2 linked regions of the Tamandua tetradactyla genome follow. The protein of the gene in region 1 purifies or fractionates together with the protein of each later gene. This does not show direct contact. Links are inferred from orthologs where the notes say so. Each region holds a gene or a part of one and is shown on either strand. Other genes may lie near its edges.

Region 1 (7,570 bases):
AGGACAGCATTGTGAGGAGAGATTTCTCTCCCAATGTCATGCACTGAGTGTGTGCAAGAGCTGGATCTAAGGTACACGTCTCCAGTTGTCAAAGACCATGCTGGCTTAATTACATCTTACTGTCCTCTAGGAATCTTCAGCCCCATCCTTCTATTCAAATTTCACCCATTCATCAAGGTCTCAATGAAATACTGCCTCCACCACGAAGCTTTTGATGACTTCTTTCTGTGGTGATTCTATTTCGGTTCCTCTCTAACGACACAAAGTAGGTGATACATGCCCTATATTCCTAAAGATCTAAATCGAGGATAGATGACCACAGATTGGGATGTTTTTGCAAGGATCCATGCTTTCTAAACAGAGTAATAATCTCATGGTTTCTCTTGAACAATAAATCATAATTAACCTATGAATATACATATATATATATACATATATATATAGATATAGATATATGGCTTCTCTCACATGTATTATTCTATTTGGGTTTCTACAACACTTCAGCAAAATAGGATATACCTTTATAACATGGTGTGGTTGTATATTAGAATCAGGAGGTGGCATTGTAAACAGAAGTGAGGCACCACATTAAATCACACATTCCTAGAGGGACCGTGGGAGTGAAGTAGCATCACACCAAGCATTGAACACTTAACTAGGTATCCACAGCAAAGTAAAGAGGAGTGTGCTTGAAATGACAATAAATGTTGCTTGTGGATAAATGCTGGGTGTGGTAAAAAAAAAAGAAAGTGCAATTCATAGAAGCAGGCAACATAAGCATAACATGAGCTTTCCAAAATGTGCTTGCTCTGCTTTTTTTTAAATTCAAATTATGGTTTTAAATTTTTATTTGAGAGGTTTAAGAAAAATCATATAGAAAATAGAGTTCCCATATACCACTCCATCACACACATGCTTTTCCTTATTTTCAACATTTTGCACTAGTGTGATACCTTTGTTAAAATTTATGAAACAATATTACCATAATTATACTATTAACTATATATAGTCCATAGTTTACATTAAGATTCAATGTTGATGTTGTATAGTCCTATTGATTATCCTAAAAATTTCTATTCCTGCAACATATATACAATTTCCCCTCAACCACATTCAAATAAATAATCAAATGGTTTCTATTGCATTTACAATATTGGGTTGCCATCACTGCCATCCATCACTGCCATCCATTATAAAAACTTTTCTATTACCCCCCCCAAAAAACTCTATACCAATTAAGCATCCCCCACCTCCACCCCCACTCCTGCCCCTGGTAACTTGCATTCAAGTTTCTGGCTCTATGAATTTATGCGTTTTAATTATTTCATGTCAGTGAGGTCATGCAATATTTATCCTTTTGTGTCTGGCTTATTTCATTCAACATAATGTCTTCAGGGTTCATCCATGTTGTTGCATGTATCAGAATTTTGTTCCTTTTTGTGGCTGAAAAATATTCCATCGTATGCATATAGTACCTTGTGTTTATCCATTCATCTGTTGATGGATAGTTGGGTTGCTTCCTCATCTTTTGGCAATTGTGAATAATGCTGCTATGAACATGGATGTGAAAATATCTGAGTCCTGTTTTCAGTTCTTTTCAGTTCTTTTGAGGATAAACCTAGAAGTGTGATTGCTAGTTCACATGGTAATTCTATACTTAACTTTCTGAAGAATTGCCAGATTGTTTTCAACAGGTTTACTTTGATATTTAAAGTGCTTATGACTCAAAAATTTTAGCTGAATAAACATACTTTAGAAATTTCCCTTGAGGTATCATAACTGATGGGGTAGAGACGGAAGAAGGGAAAGAGAAAGCAAAGAGAAGAGTGAATAAAATAATCTAAACTTCGATGGTTTAGAGCAGCTTTAACAAAGGGTGTGGTCTGAAAGTTTCAGAGTGAGGACGTGGCGTGTTGAGAAGAAGCACAGAGACACCTTTTTCCATAGCTCTATCACCAAATAATCTTAGAACAAGAAGAACCTCTTATTATATGATGTATACTTTTCATAGCAAGCATCACAGTTTTTATTGTATTTTTACATGTCTGGTGACTTGATTATTGCATATTTCCCACTGGGATATACGTTCCACCAGAGCCTTATTAACTAATCAGCACATTTTTTGAGATGTCTATTATGTGCCAACGCTGTACTAAGCATTGAGGGTACCACAATGGAAAAAAATTCTTTCCTCTCATGGACCTAAGACAAGACAGATAGGTAAAATAGTGCATGATTTTGTTTCTTGGTTGTCAAAGCAAATATCATGCAATGGGTTGGCTTAAAAAATGAGTGTTTATTGGCTTATTGTTCTGAGGCTAAGAGAAGTCCAAATCAAGGTGTCATTATGACAATGTGTTGTTTGTAAAGATTGGATTTTGGAGCGGGCCACCAGTGATCCTTGGTCCTGGGCTTCTCTTTCAAATGGCAATGTACATGGTAGCCTCTCCTGGCCTATTCCTTCTCTTCTAGGTTCTGTTGTCCTTCAGCTTCCTGCTTTCCCTGGCTCTATGTCTGAATTTTATTCTGCTCATAAAGAACTCCAATGATAGGATTAAGACCTATCCTGATTGAGTTGGGCCCCACCTTAATTGAGTAGCTTCATCAAAATTCCTACTTTAATGAGTTCATACCCACAGGAATGGGTTAAGTTTAAGAACATGTTTTTTTTTTAATTTTCTGAGGTACATACAGCTCCAAATCACTACAGTGTATTTTGAATGGCAGATTCTAGAGAGATCAGTTAGGGAAAGGGGATAAAAAGTTTCAGGATGATAAGATTCAGATGCAATCTTGGATATGGTGATCAACAAAGTGTCAACCAGAAAGAGGTATTCATAAAATAAATGAGGAAATCAAGCATAAGGATGTATGGAGGAAGAGAATTCTAGGCAGGAAGAAGAGCAAGTGCAAAGACAGAGGCAGGAGTGTGTATTCATTGTCTATGCAAGGGAGAGTAGGAGATGAGGTCAGAGAGGGACAGATGGTATAGGGTCTTGTAAGCTACTGCAAGGATGTTGTCTTATACTCAGAGAAGGGGAGCCACTGGAGAGTTCTAACAGTGACATGACCTGCAGTGTTTCAGAAGGACTACTGGACCACTTTGTAGAGAGTAGGCTGAAGGATGGAGATGAGAAGGACAGCTGGGAGGCTAATGCAATAACCCGGCTTTCTAGACCTAGAGATGATGACAAATGGCAGTTACTGGGTAAATTTTGAAAGTAGAGTTAACAGGATTTGTTAATGGCTGCAAAGGAAAGAGAAGACTAGGACATGAAAGAAAGAGAAGTCAAGGGTGAACGCAAAGTTTGGGGCTTGAACAGTTGGAAGAATGACACTGCCATTCCTGAGATGGGGAAGGGGCAAGAAGAGTAGTTGGGTACGGGGGTAGAAAATAGGGCCTCAGTGTTAGACAGACATCCCAACAGACATCCCATCAGACAGGTATGAGATTCCCATCAGACATCCCATCAGACAGGTATGAGATTCCCATCAGACATCCCATCAGAAAGGTATGAGATTACCATCAGACATGCAGATGCTGAGAGGGAAGCTGAACACATTCATCTCAAGTTCAAGAGAGAGGTCAAAGCTAGAAATATGGATTTGGGAATCATCAGCATATCATTGGTATTTAAATCCGAAGAAGGAAGAGGGCAGGAACAAAGGCTGCTTTGCTCATCATTGCATCCCCAATACCAGGCAGTTTCTGGCATATAGTAGGTACTAAAATTCTATGCAATGCTTAAGGGGTGGGGTAGAAGGGAGAAGGAAAATCTTTAATATACCAGTTGCATTGGGGCAGGAACTAAAGCCTCTTATTTGAAAAGTCCAGCCTATTTACAAGTTCAATTTAGATATTGAATCTGTCTGGTGTGATATGCACTTTTGTATTGTTTGGGATTTTGTTGCTTCTGACTTCAAAATAAAAATATGATCTTGTGGAATCGATAACTTGGGCAAAAATCATTCTTTAGTACAAACATCTAGTCTTCTAGCAATTGTGGTAGTGCAATCCAAAAGAAAAAAATCAGTGATCTGGGAGGCAAAATTTCTGGGTCGTAGGTCCTGTAACTGATTGTGTTTACTTGCTCAGCATTAAAGCAGTGGCTGTTAGTGCTTGTCTCTATACAGATCCATAGATATTGCCTAATTAAATGAGTTAATGGATTCTTTTAGTTCACAGAACACAAGCTGTTATTCAAATGAACATCATCATCATCATCATCATCATCATCATCATGCTTTTAAAGTTAAAGATATGATTTGTTACCATGATGGCAATTTAAGTAGTATCCACTGTCTCTGGATCTTTGATACCTATGGAGGATGGACTGGATTTTTAAAGAAATAGTCTTAGGAGAACCTAGGCATTAAGCAGAGCTGCCCTCAGTCATCTACCCCGTGTGGCTCTGCCCCTGACAACCCCTCCCATCTTCACGGGACCCAAATCAGGGGGAAGGTGCTCTGTGGTACCTGGTGGTGGCAGTGCTGTGGGGAGGGGAGGAGCCCAAAGGGATAAACTCAGATTTGAATGTGGGCAAATCTGACAGAGACACTGAAGCAGCAGTGCTTGAGGCAAGCTTTCCTTGGCCTAAGACTTTCAGGGAGTCAAGAGAGCCACTCTGGAAACTGCTATGGACAGGTAAAGGGTCAGTCTCCTCGCGTGTCCTGGGTGGTTGGTTTTACCAGCTTTTCTCTCAGAGAGTATCTGTGGAATGAATTGGCAGCTAACCCTTTCTCTTGTTTCTCTATCTGACTGACACAATCTGCTTGTTTAAAATACATGTTTATTTTTCTGGATCTGTCTCATTACTGTTCAAACCTGCCTTGCTCTCAACCTAATTCTCAGTGCTTCTCCAAGTGACTCTCTTTTCTGTGTTGCAAAAGAACTTTTATGCAGCATATACTGACTTGACTTGGTTACAAGTGGTTTATGGTAATATCAGCAAAGCAAATGTTTAAAGACTCATATCATGAAAAAGTAAAAGTAATACTATACTACACACAGTCATGGTAATTGTAAAACAATTTTGTACACATTTCAAAAATCAAACCACTTGAAGACAGTTTCCTAGGGAAACTTTACAGAAAAATTTAGTTACATAGTAAGAAAGTTTGTTTTTTTTTTTTGAAAATAACAAACATTCAAAATTAGTTGCCTGAAAGTCATTATGATTTATAATAGAGAAAAAGTTTCAAATAGGTGATTTAATGTTGGAAGCCAGACCTCTAGGCATTTTAACTTTTTAACCAGACTTTGAATTTGCGTACACATGGCCTAACTCATTTTATAAATGAGGATTCTGTAAGCTTTTCAGTTTGTCCACCTATAAATTATGATAATTTAAATTTTATTGTAGAATTTAGTCTATTCCTACTTTTCTGATTACTAAAATATATAAGAATCATACCTAATCCACATACTTTATTTCAATTTAATGCTTTTACATAGAATATAAACTTGTTCTTCAGAAGGTTTTCTTGAGAGTAAGCACTGTTGAATATCTCTTCACTACAAATGACATCTTTTTTTGTTTGGCGGTTATTTTAAAAATGAATGTGAGGTATAAGTCAACAATCCTCTGTGGTCAGAGGTGGAGGGACCAGTGGAGATCCTTGCACATGATGAAATACAAAGCCACAGTAAAATCAGTAGTCAAAATTCAGAGAAAGACCAAAAAAGGAGAAAGATGAAATTCAACAGGAGAAAAGGGAAATCTATCATTATCATTAAAGAAAATGCTGTCTGCAGAACTCAATAGCGATGGTGCACTGCAGTGGAGATGAATGTCAGGATTATTTTTAACCCATTTGTCTCTGGTTTGCATTGCTGGGGATGCAGCTCTTGTTCTGCCTCAGGGAACACAGCTGTCCAGAGCAGCTGTCAACATGAGGGCCTGAAAAACTGTCTCTGTAAAATCCTTTGTACCCAGAAGAGAAACATCTTACATCTCCACTGAGACAAATGGGGAGCTGGCAGCAGGGTACTAGCTAGAGGAGAAGCAAGAAAAATAACAGATCACGATCACGAAATTCCTTTCCCTGTGCCTGGTTACCTGGGACAGAAAAAGCAAGGAACTATTGCATTTTCGTGCAGGGTAGGAAGTAAAGTCCATCTGAATTGCTTTAGCTAGGTCATGCCCTTTTCTATACTCCCAGGAACCTTTCTCTTCTTTATGCTAACAGGTTCTCCCCTTTCCTGCAATAAAAAAGATATATATTTGCTCTCCCTTTCTCATCCATACAGCCCAGGAGGGTAGGTTAGATGTATAACTGATTTATTGTTAAAGATGATGATTAATCTGTTTAAAACTGACTGGGCCCCAAAGAGAGAATATGTTTATTTTATTCTCTCTCTAGAGCATTTATCATGCATCTATTATCTATTCAGCTAATTATATATGCTAAGGGTTATTAAATGCTAATTATGTAATATAGTTCATAGTAATTGTGGTAGAGCTATGGAGATTACCATAAATTATCATTTTAAAATAAAGCAAACTATTATTAGATTTTTGTGAGTATCTATTTTAGATTCCTACCAAAGATGCAATTTTTTAAATTTAAAGAAGGGAACAATATGGTTGACTCATTTTTATACTATTTGATATGTATATTATATATACTGGCAATAAATTCAATTTTGTTTCAGAGTTTAAGGTATTTTCTAATAAGCTTCATGTGTGTGAGAAGAGGCCTTTGAATTGAAAAAGCTATAAAGAGCCATTGTCCTTCTTGTTTATTCAATCAAGTTGACGTTTTGGTAGTTGATCTTTAAAGTCAAAGACTATCACCTATATCTAGTTATGAAAATGTCAGTTCTCAATATATATCCATCCACACAAAGACTGGTACACTAATGTTCAAAGCAGCTTTATTCACAATAATCTCAAACTGGAAACAATCCAAATGTCCATCAACAGGTGAATGGATAAACACAATGTGTTATATTCGTGTAATGGAATACTACTCTGCACTTAAAAGGAAAAAATTGCTGGTACTCATAACAACATGAGTGAACCTTGTGTCTTATACTGAGTGAAATAGCATAAGACAAGAAAGAGTAGATCAGTAGATAATGTATGATTTACATGACATTCTAGCCAATGAAAACTAATCTAGTTACAGAAAACAGATGAGTGATATGAGGGAAAGAGAATTGATTGCAGGGGGTGGGGGGAGAGTGAACTGGAAAGGTCTGTATACTGATTGTGGTAGCAGTTTGGGGTGTTTTCATTTCTCATTTTAAATACACGAAGTTTACTGTTTATACCGCAATGCAAAAATAATAATGATCGTAAGTGAAGAGCTTCAATTTCTTGCCAGCAAACTGCATTCAAATTCCTTACCATGCTTTTGCTTTATAAATTTTTTGCACTTCTTCCCGATGCCATGAAATTGCAACGCTGATCCCACATGTTAAGCAAATACATTTCTGAAAATGACAAAGGGCAGAGACACAACTCATGCTTAAGTAATCACACTAGTATATAGCTGGTGTTACTATGCTTAAAACTGTAATGTTATTCTTAATTTCTTTAAACAGATTTGGACCAGCATAGAGTAC
Region 2 (7,051 bases), on another chromosome or scaffold:
GCAACGTATTCAATTTCCCTTTTTAAAAGCCATTCCATTTCTGGTATAATGCATTCTGGCAGCCAGCAAACCAGAACAGTTGGTTTCAGCTCTGGCTTTGCTCTTCACTAGCTGTTTGACTTGGAGCAGGTTAACTTGACCTCTCTGGCTTGGGTTTCCTTTTCTATAAAATAAGCATTCCACCTACCTCAAAAGGCCATTAATTGATAATTAAATATGATAACTTATATGAAAACACTTTAGCTCAGCCCCTGGCTCATGGTAGGAAGGCAGTATAGCACAGTGGTTAGGAGCTCCAGCTATGAAATCAGACTGCCCAGCCTTGCCACTATCTGGCTAGATGCCTTAAGGCAGGTACTTTTTTATGCTTCAGCTTCCTTGTCTGTACCAATGCAGTAAGTAATGCATCTCTCATTTCTAAAAACGTTACCATTTTAAAGAGTTTTTATATCTCTAATTTCATCACCTACCATTCTCTTCCTCACTCACTATATTCTAGTCACATCAATCCTCTTTCTGATCTTCTAACCATGAAGAACTAACTATGAGTTTCTACCACATAGAAGATGTTATCTCTGCCTCAATCTGTCCCTTTCAACCTTCAGTCCTCAACTTTAATGTCCATTCCTGAGTAAGACCTTCCTAGAACATACTATCTATTAGAACATACTATCTAAAGTAATAGGTCCTAGCTCCACGCCTAATGGTTATTTTCTATGGCAGAATTATCTACTAAAAACATATTGAAAGCCGTAAATGAATCACATGTGTAACTTTAAACTTTCTAGTAGCAACATTTAAAAAGTGACATTATTTTTAATATATTTCCTTTAACCTAATATATCTAAATACTATAATTTTAACATGTAATCAATATAAAAATATTTTTACAGCCATTTTTCATGCTAAATCTTTGAAATCCAGTGTGTACTTCATACATATTGCCACATTTCAAGTGTTCAATAGTCACATGTGGTCAGCAGCTACCATACTGAATACTGCAGTTTTATAGCATACCCTGCTTTATTTACATCATAGCACTTATCACTATGTTTATTTTCTTATCTTGTGACTTCCCCACCAGACTATAAGCTCCACAAAAGGAAGAACCTTGTCTGTCATTTTCATTGCTGTACACCTAGTGGATACAATGCCTTGCACCCAGGAGGTGCTTAATAAATATTTGTTGAACTTTAATATTCTGAGTCAATGGACTAGTCATTCCACAATTCCCAAAAAGGCATACAACCACTCATCCAGCAACCCTCCTATTTCTTTTTTCCTTTCATGTTCAACTACTGTCTTAAAAAGAACAATTTCTTGGTTATATACCTCCCCACTGTTTACAAGTTCCTTCTCATCATGTCTGGAGTTTCCAGATCAAAGCTGGGTATAATGGATTAGGAAGATGCACAAAAGTAATAGTAATATTTATTGAATGTGTTTACTCAGTGGTAGGGATTAGTCAAAGCACTTTACAACTATGCTTTACGGCAGCCCTATGAAATAGATACCATCACCGTCCCCACTTACAGATGAGGAAACCAAGGCATAGAGAAGTTAAGTATTTCATTCAAGGTTACAAAAGTCAGTTGGTAGCAAAACTGAGTTTCCAAGAAAGCTGGAATTCCAGACTCCTGGTTCTTAATCACCTATTCTCTATTGCAGGGTCGCCCAATAGAAATACACTGTCAACTATAAAACTAACTTTAAATTTTCTAGTAGCCATATTAAAAAGTTAACAGAAATAGGTGAAAACTATTTTAAACGCATTTTATTTAACCCATTATCTGAAATACGATTATTTAATCAAATGATTTAATAATCAAAATAACCGATATGATCGATAGGATTAAGCAACAATATAAAAATTCAACTTTTTTTAATACTACATCGTCAAAATCTAGTGTGAATTTACACACACAGCACATCTCAATTCAGACTAGCTACATTTCAAATGTTCAGCAATCGCATGTGGCTAGTAGCTGGACGGCACAGCTCTACTATCCCCTCAAAAGTAGCCTTTCTGGGGAAGTTAAAGAGTGGGGAAAACTTTGGGCTGGAAGTTGAGAGACTTGAGCTCTAGCCCAGATCTTACTTGCTGAGAAACTTGGGCAATTCCTTTCTGTCCTCGAGCCCGAAGTTTTCCTACAAGTACCCTGAGTGAGGGCACAAGAAGATTCCCCTAAGGTTCTATCCCATGTTAAAATTCCAAACATCTCCCGACGACAGCAGTTAACATGGCTACAGCTTTCTACACTTTAAAATAGGCTTTCAGATCCATTAGCTGACATAGTTCTCAAATAAACCTACAAGGTAGTTATTACTGTATCCATTTCATAGACAGAATAGCTGAGCTCAAAGGGGAGGAAAGGACTTGCCCATAAGCCCCACTGCCAGTCAGCGGAGAAGCTGGGGCACAAATCCAAGAAAGAGCTGTGGTCCTCCGACCACCACTACACACTCAAGGACTTGGGAGCGGGGAGTGGTGAGCTGAGGGGCATGGTCGTGAAAACAGGGTAGTCTGGGACCTTCAGGGAAGTTGAGGAGAACCAGGATGGGGTGAGAGGGAACCCAGACTGGAGTGAGAACAGGTGAGAGGGCTCAGGCCTTGAGAAGGTAAGGAACTGAAAGGGCCCAAGAGGACTATGGGAAAGTGAAATTGAGACAAACTTGGACCCGGGTGGCACAAGTTGACATGAGGGAGCCCGGGGGCCCCGGATTTAGGTGGAGAGGAAGTGAGATGAGATTCTGGCCCTGCTACCCGTTGCTCATGTGAAGGGGGGTTCCACGGCCCTTTCCCGGGCTTCATACCTGATAGCTCAGAAGTTCGCCTACGTCCATAGTTCAGGGTCCTGCTAACGCCGGCTACGCGAATTCCCTCCACTCACGCTGAAGCTAAGGCCCCCTCAGCAGCTGCTCAGCCACACTACCGTAAAGCGCCGTGAGCAGGCCGCAGAGACAACCGGGTAAACGTGCCCGAGCGGGCCACACTGCGGTAAAAGGGAGGGCTACCGTAAAGCGCGCTGCATTTGTGACAGTTCTGCTTCCGCCTCGAGCCTGAGCGGGGCGGGGAAATTGGACGGAGACCTGAAGGAGGTTGGTGAGGTGGGAGAGAGAAGTGGAGGGCGCTTCGTTTTATGGCGCGCTCCCTGTGTGCAGGGTTGAGCACTGGGTGTTTCACGGGTATTTTCACAATCCTTCTAGCGACCTGGACCACTGTATCTTTATTTGCTTCTCATTTCACAGATAAGGAAACCGAAATATACCTAGTTCAAATTGAGATGTGCCATAAATGTAAATAAACCAGACACTGGATTTTTAAGACATGTTAATTACATATTGAAACGATGTTTTGGATGAGTCAAATAAAATATATTATTAAAATTAATGCATTTGGATGCGATTTTATTGAGAAATATTCCCAGACTATATAATCATCCAAAGTATACAATCAATGGCTTACACATCATATAGTTGTGCATTCATCACCACAATCACTTTTAGAACATTTTCATTACTTAAAAAAAAAAGTTAAGCGAAAATAAAAAACACCCAAACACATTCCATACCCCTTTTCCCCCCTATTATTTATTTTTATGTTTTTATTTTCTCACTTATCTGCCCATACACTGGATAAAGGAAGTGTCAGTCACACTGTAAAAGCTATATAGTCATACCATCATCATCAAGAATCAAAGCTACTGGATTACAGGTCAACAGTTTCCTTCTAGCTATTCAAATACACTAAACTAAAAAAGGAATATCTACATATAATACATAAAAATAACCTCCAGACTGACCCCTTGACTATTTGAAATCTCCTAGCCACTGAAATTTTATTTTGTTTCATTTCTCTTCTTCCTTTTTGTCAAGGCTTTCTCAATCCCAAGATGTCAGGGCCAGGCTCAACCCTAGGAGTCAGGTCCCACATAGGGGGAAGGGTAATGCATCTATTTACAGAGTTGGTTTAGACTGAGAGGCCACATCTGAGCAACAAAAGAGGTCCTCTGGGATGACTCTTAAGCATAATTATTAGTAGGCTTAACTTCTACTTTGAGGAATACATTTCATAAGGGTAAGCCCAAAGAATGAGTTTGATTTATTACACTGGGAGTCTCTAATGCTTGTGAGAATATCAGAAATTCCCCAGGTGGTAAAGCTTAATATTTCCACATTTTTCCCCAGTCCCTCAAGGGGACTTTGCAAATACTTTTTTCTATTTTCTGCCCAAATTACTCTTGGATATATCAGGTTATTATATTAACCTGTACAAAATAAGATTTCATTCCCTATTCAAGTTTCCATGTAATTATATTGTTTGGATAAACCAACCATACAGGTTAAATTAGATAATGTGCTACAGAAAATATAAATTTTATACCAAATAAACATCTCTTCCTTTGGTCTCACACAGAAATTGAAGTTTTAAAATACAGTCACTATCAGTCTTTACTCTGTATTCAGATTACCTTAGTCCTAACCAGATCAGCTTCATTCATATCTCTAACTGAAGTCTGATCTCTTTTTTAGCTTCTTTAACAGTTGTTACATGGGGTAATGCTGGCTTTCAGAGCTGCAGAACTCTAACTCTGAATCTCAGATGTCACACAGCTACTCAAAGTTCCAGGGAAATCCAGCTTATACACAAAGAGTTCAGTTTCTCATAATAAAATTAATACATTTTCATGTGGTGAGTAGAAAAAGTTTTCTCCTCTTTTTTAATGTAATTAGAAAAAATTTAATTACACATGGCTTACATGTGAGCCTTCCCTCATATTTCTATCGAACAATGCTGGCTCAGAAAGTGACTCAGCCAAGGCAATACAACTATTACTGGCTGAGAAACTATCAGTGATCATGTAAACGAGAAATTAGGATTGAAGGGATGATTTTGATTACTGAATCATTACATAAATATACCTTTTTTTGCTTTCTGGCATATTGGAGTAGACAGGGTAATACCTGAAATCTCTGAATTGTAACCCAGCTGCCTTGGTCTCTGATAATGGTTGTATATCAGTGGTTATCTTCTGCCCCTGTGACTAAGCTTCATCTGTACTTTGTCATCCAGTTTTTCAACTTTAGAGTTTTGTAACCACTAAAGACAGCCCTTCATGTTTGTTAATGAAGGGTCTTGGGTCTGCTGGGAACTATCCCACCCTAAGTCCAAAATAATCTTGATAACTGAGACCAAATTTAACCTACATGGGTCTGCCTGACATGCGCAGTAGCTTAGACTTAACCTACAAGTGACCTATACCTCATTTCGCCATTTTCTTTCATACATTCCATGAATAAGCCTGTAATCCATGTGCGAATGCTCAAAAATCAGATCACGTCTAATTACATCATCTGGGGTCACTGTACTCATTATCTTAAACCCTGCCTGTCTTTTTCTCTAATAAAACTACCAGAATTAATGGAGTTCCAGGAGATAGATTTTGGGCCACTAGGCCAGCTACTCTCCTACAAAATATCTAGTAATAAACCCTTTGTCTCTTTGAAACCCCGGTGTCTCAGGAATTGGTTATTGAGCGCATCTGGCAAAAGAATCCATGGTCTTCACCTGGTAACAATCACATGCCCCTCTCTGGGCTTCTGTTTCTTGATCTCTGCAAGGCCAGGTGGGAACTGGATCATCTTTTCTCTATATGAGTGATGTGAAAAGATCTTTCTGGAGGAGAAAATTGCATTCACAGAGAGCATCTGAACGCCTGCGATTTAGATGAGGCTCCATCTTCGGTGGAGCTGAGGCCTGTCCGCCCACAAACTCCCAGCTCTTCACAAGCAGGGATTGTGTATGTCATGGTCACCCTGTAGCCCCCAGCACTGGGACAAGGGGAGGGTTTCACAATGGGCCTTGTGGGCCGTGGTGAAGAGACTGGATTTTATCTCAAGAGTATTGGGACGCTGTGAAAGGTATTAAGCACGGGAGTGACATGATTAGGTTTGTTTTTAAAGGATCACCTGCATAATCTGCTTTGAACTGAGTTATTTGTGGTTTTTTCTCCCTCCTACTTAGCTGTGACTATAGACAGTGCCTTGTAAAGGAGGCATGAGGAGTGATGATGAGGGTAGCCTGTGACCACAGACAACCCCGTGTTCTAGCGTGTGCTATGCTAGAGCCATCTTGTATAGGCAGGCTCCTAAGAACCCACGGTTACATTTTCAAGCAGGTTGGCACCAGGTTGGTAGCTTGAAATCATCCCTGGTGGGCATATTTACATCACAGAAATCAGCAGATACTCCCCCCAAGCAGACTGATGGTTCTGGTTCTAGATGACGCCCCATCAAGTCTAGGTGTGCCGTTGGGCAAGTAACTTTCCCTCTCAGCTGCAGTTTCCTCATCTGTAAAGTATTTCACTCATTCATTCAACAACTATTTACTGAGTGCCTAATCAATGCCAGGCATAGTTCTGGGCTCTGAGGTTATAAAAGTTGATAAAACAAAGTTCCTGCCATCTTGGAACCTACATTCTAGTTGGAGAGAAAACCTCATGAGGAAGATATTGTTATGATGCTCATATTATAGATGGGGAAACAGAGGTAAGTGCTTTTCCTCGATGTGCCTGATTTCCGCACCTGGGAAGTGGAGGGCAAACTGAATCTGCTTCACAGGATGTGGGAGAACTCACACGAGCTCCTGCAGGCAGAGCAATCAGCACAGAAAAATGTTCCATCAACGTTTGGTGTTAATATCATGAGTTGAGTAGGAGGTGGAGGGAGAGAGTTGAGGGCATTCCTTTGAACTTTTCCTTTACTTTCATGTAGGTGGCAGGCATTTAATCTGCTCTATGTAATTTCAGAGGCCAGGCTTTAAAACTCAGAATCATAAGGAAAAATTCTGTGAGAACCAGGGGCAGTGAACATGCTGGAATGAGAGTGATCTGTTCCCCGGGGAAGGCTACTCAGAGGAGGTGCCATTTGGACATGGATTTAAAGGATGAGAGGAGTTTACCAAGAGCACCTGGTGGAAGAAAGGTGGTCCTTGCAGAGGGAAAAGCATGAGCAGAGGCATGGAAGTGAGAGCATTCCTTGTAGACGGGGC

The links. The genes of interacting proteins can lie anywhere in the genome.
Region 2: the proteins of AICDA (region 1) and CTNNBL1 purify together in Homo sapiens (affinity purification with western blotting; 3 studies listed by BioGRID, with this or other methods). This does not show direct contact. The link is inferred for Tamandua tetradactyla from reciprocal best matches to the Homo sapiens genes AICDA and CTNNBL1.

Annotation. Positions count from the first base shown.
Region 1 is NC_135333.1:70,837,118-70,844,687, reverse strand, and holds the start of AICDA (single-stranded DNA cytosine deaminase), read left to right. Parts: upstream 1-4,552; 5' UTR 4,553-4,637; coding exon 4,638-4,645; intron 4,646-7,570. UniProt on the Homo sapiens protein: Single-stranded DNA-specific cytidine deaminase. Involved in somatic hypermutation (SHM), gene conversion, and class-switch recombination (CSR) in B-lymphocytes by deaminating C to U during transcription of Ig-variable (V) and Ig-switch (S) region DNA.
Region 2 is NC_135327.1:14,534,802-14,541,852, forward strand, and holds the start of CTNNBL1 (beta-catenin-like protein 1), read right to left. Parts: upstream 3,001-7,051; 5' UTR 2,845-3,000; coding exon 2,815-2,844; intron 2,756-2,814; exon of another isoform or gene 2,099-2,755; intron 1-2,098. UniProt on the Homo sapiens protein: Component of the PRP19-CDC5L complex that forms an integral part of the spliceosome and is required for activating pre-mRNA splicing.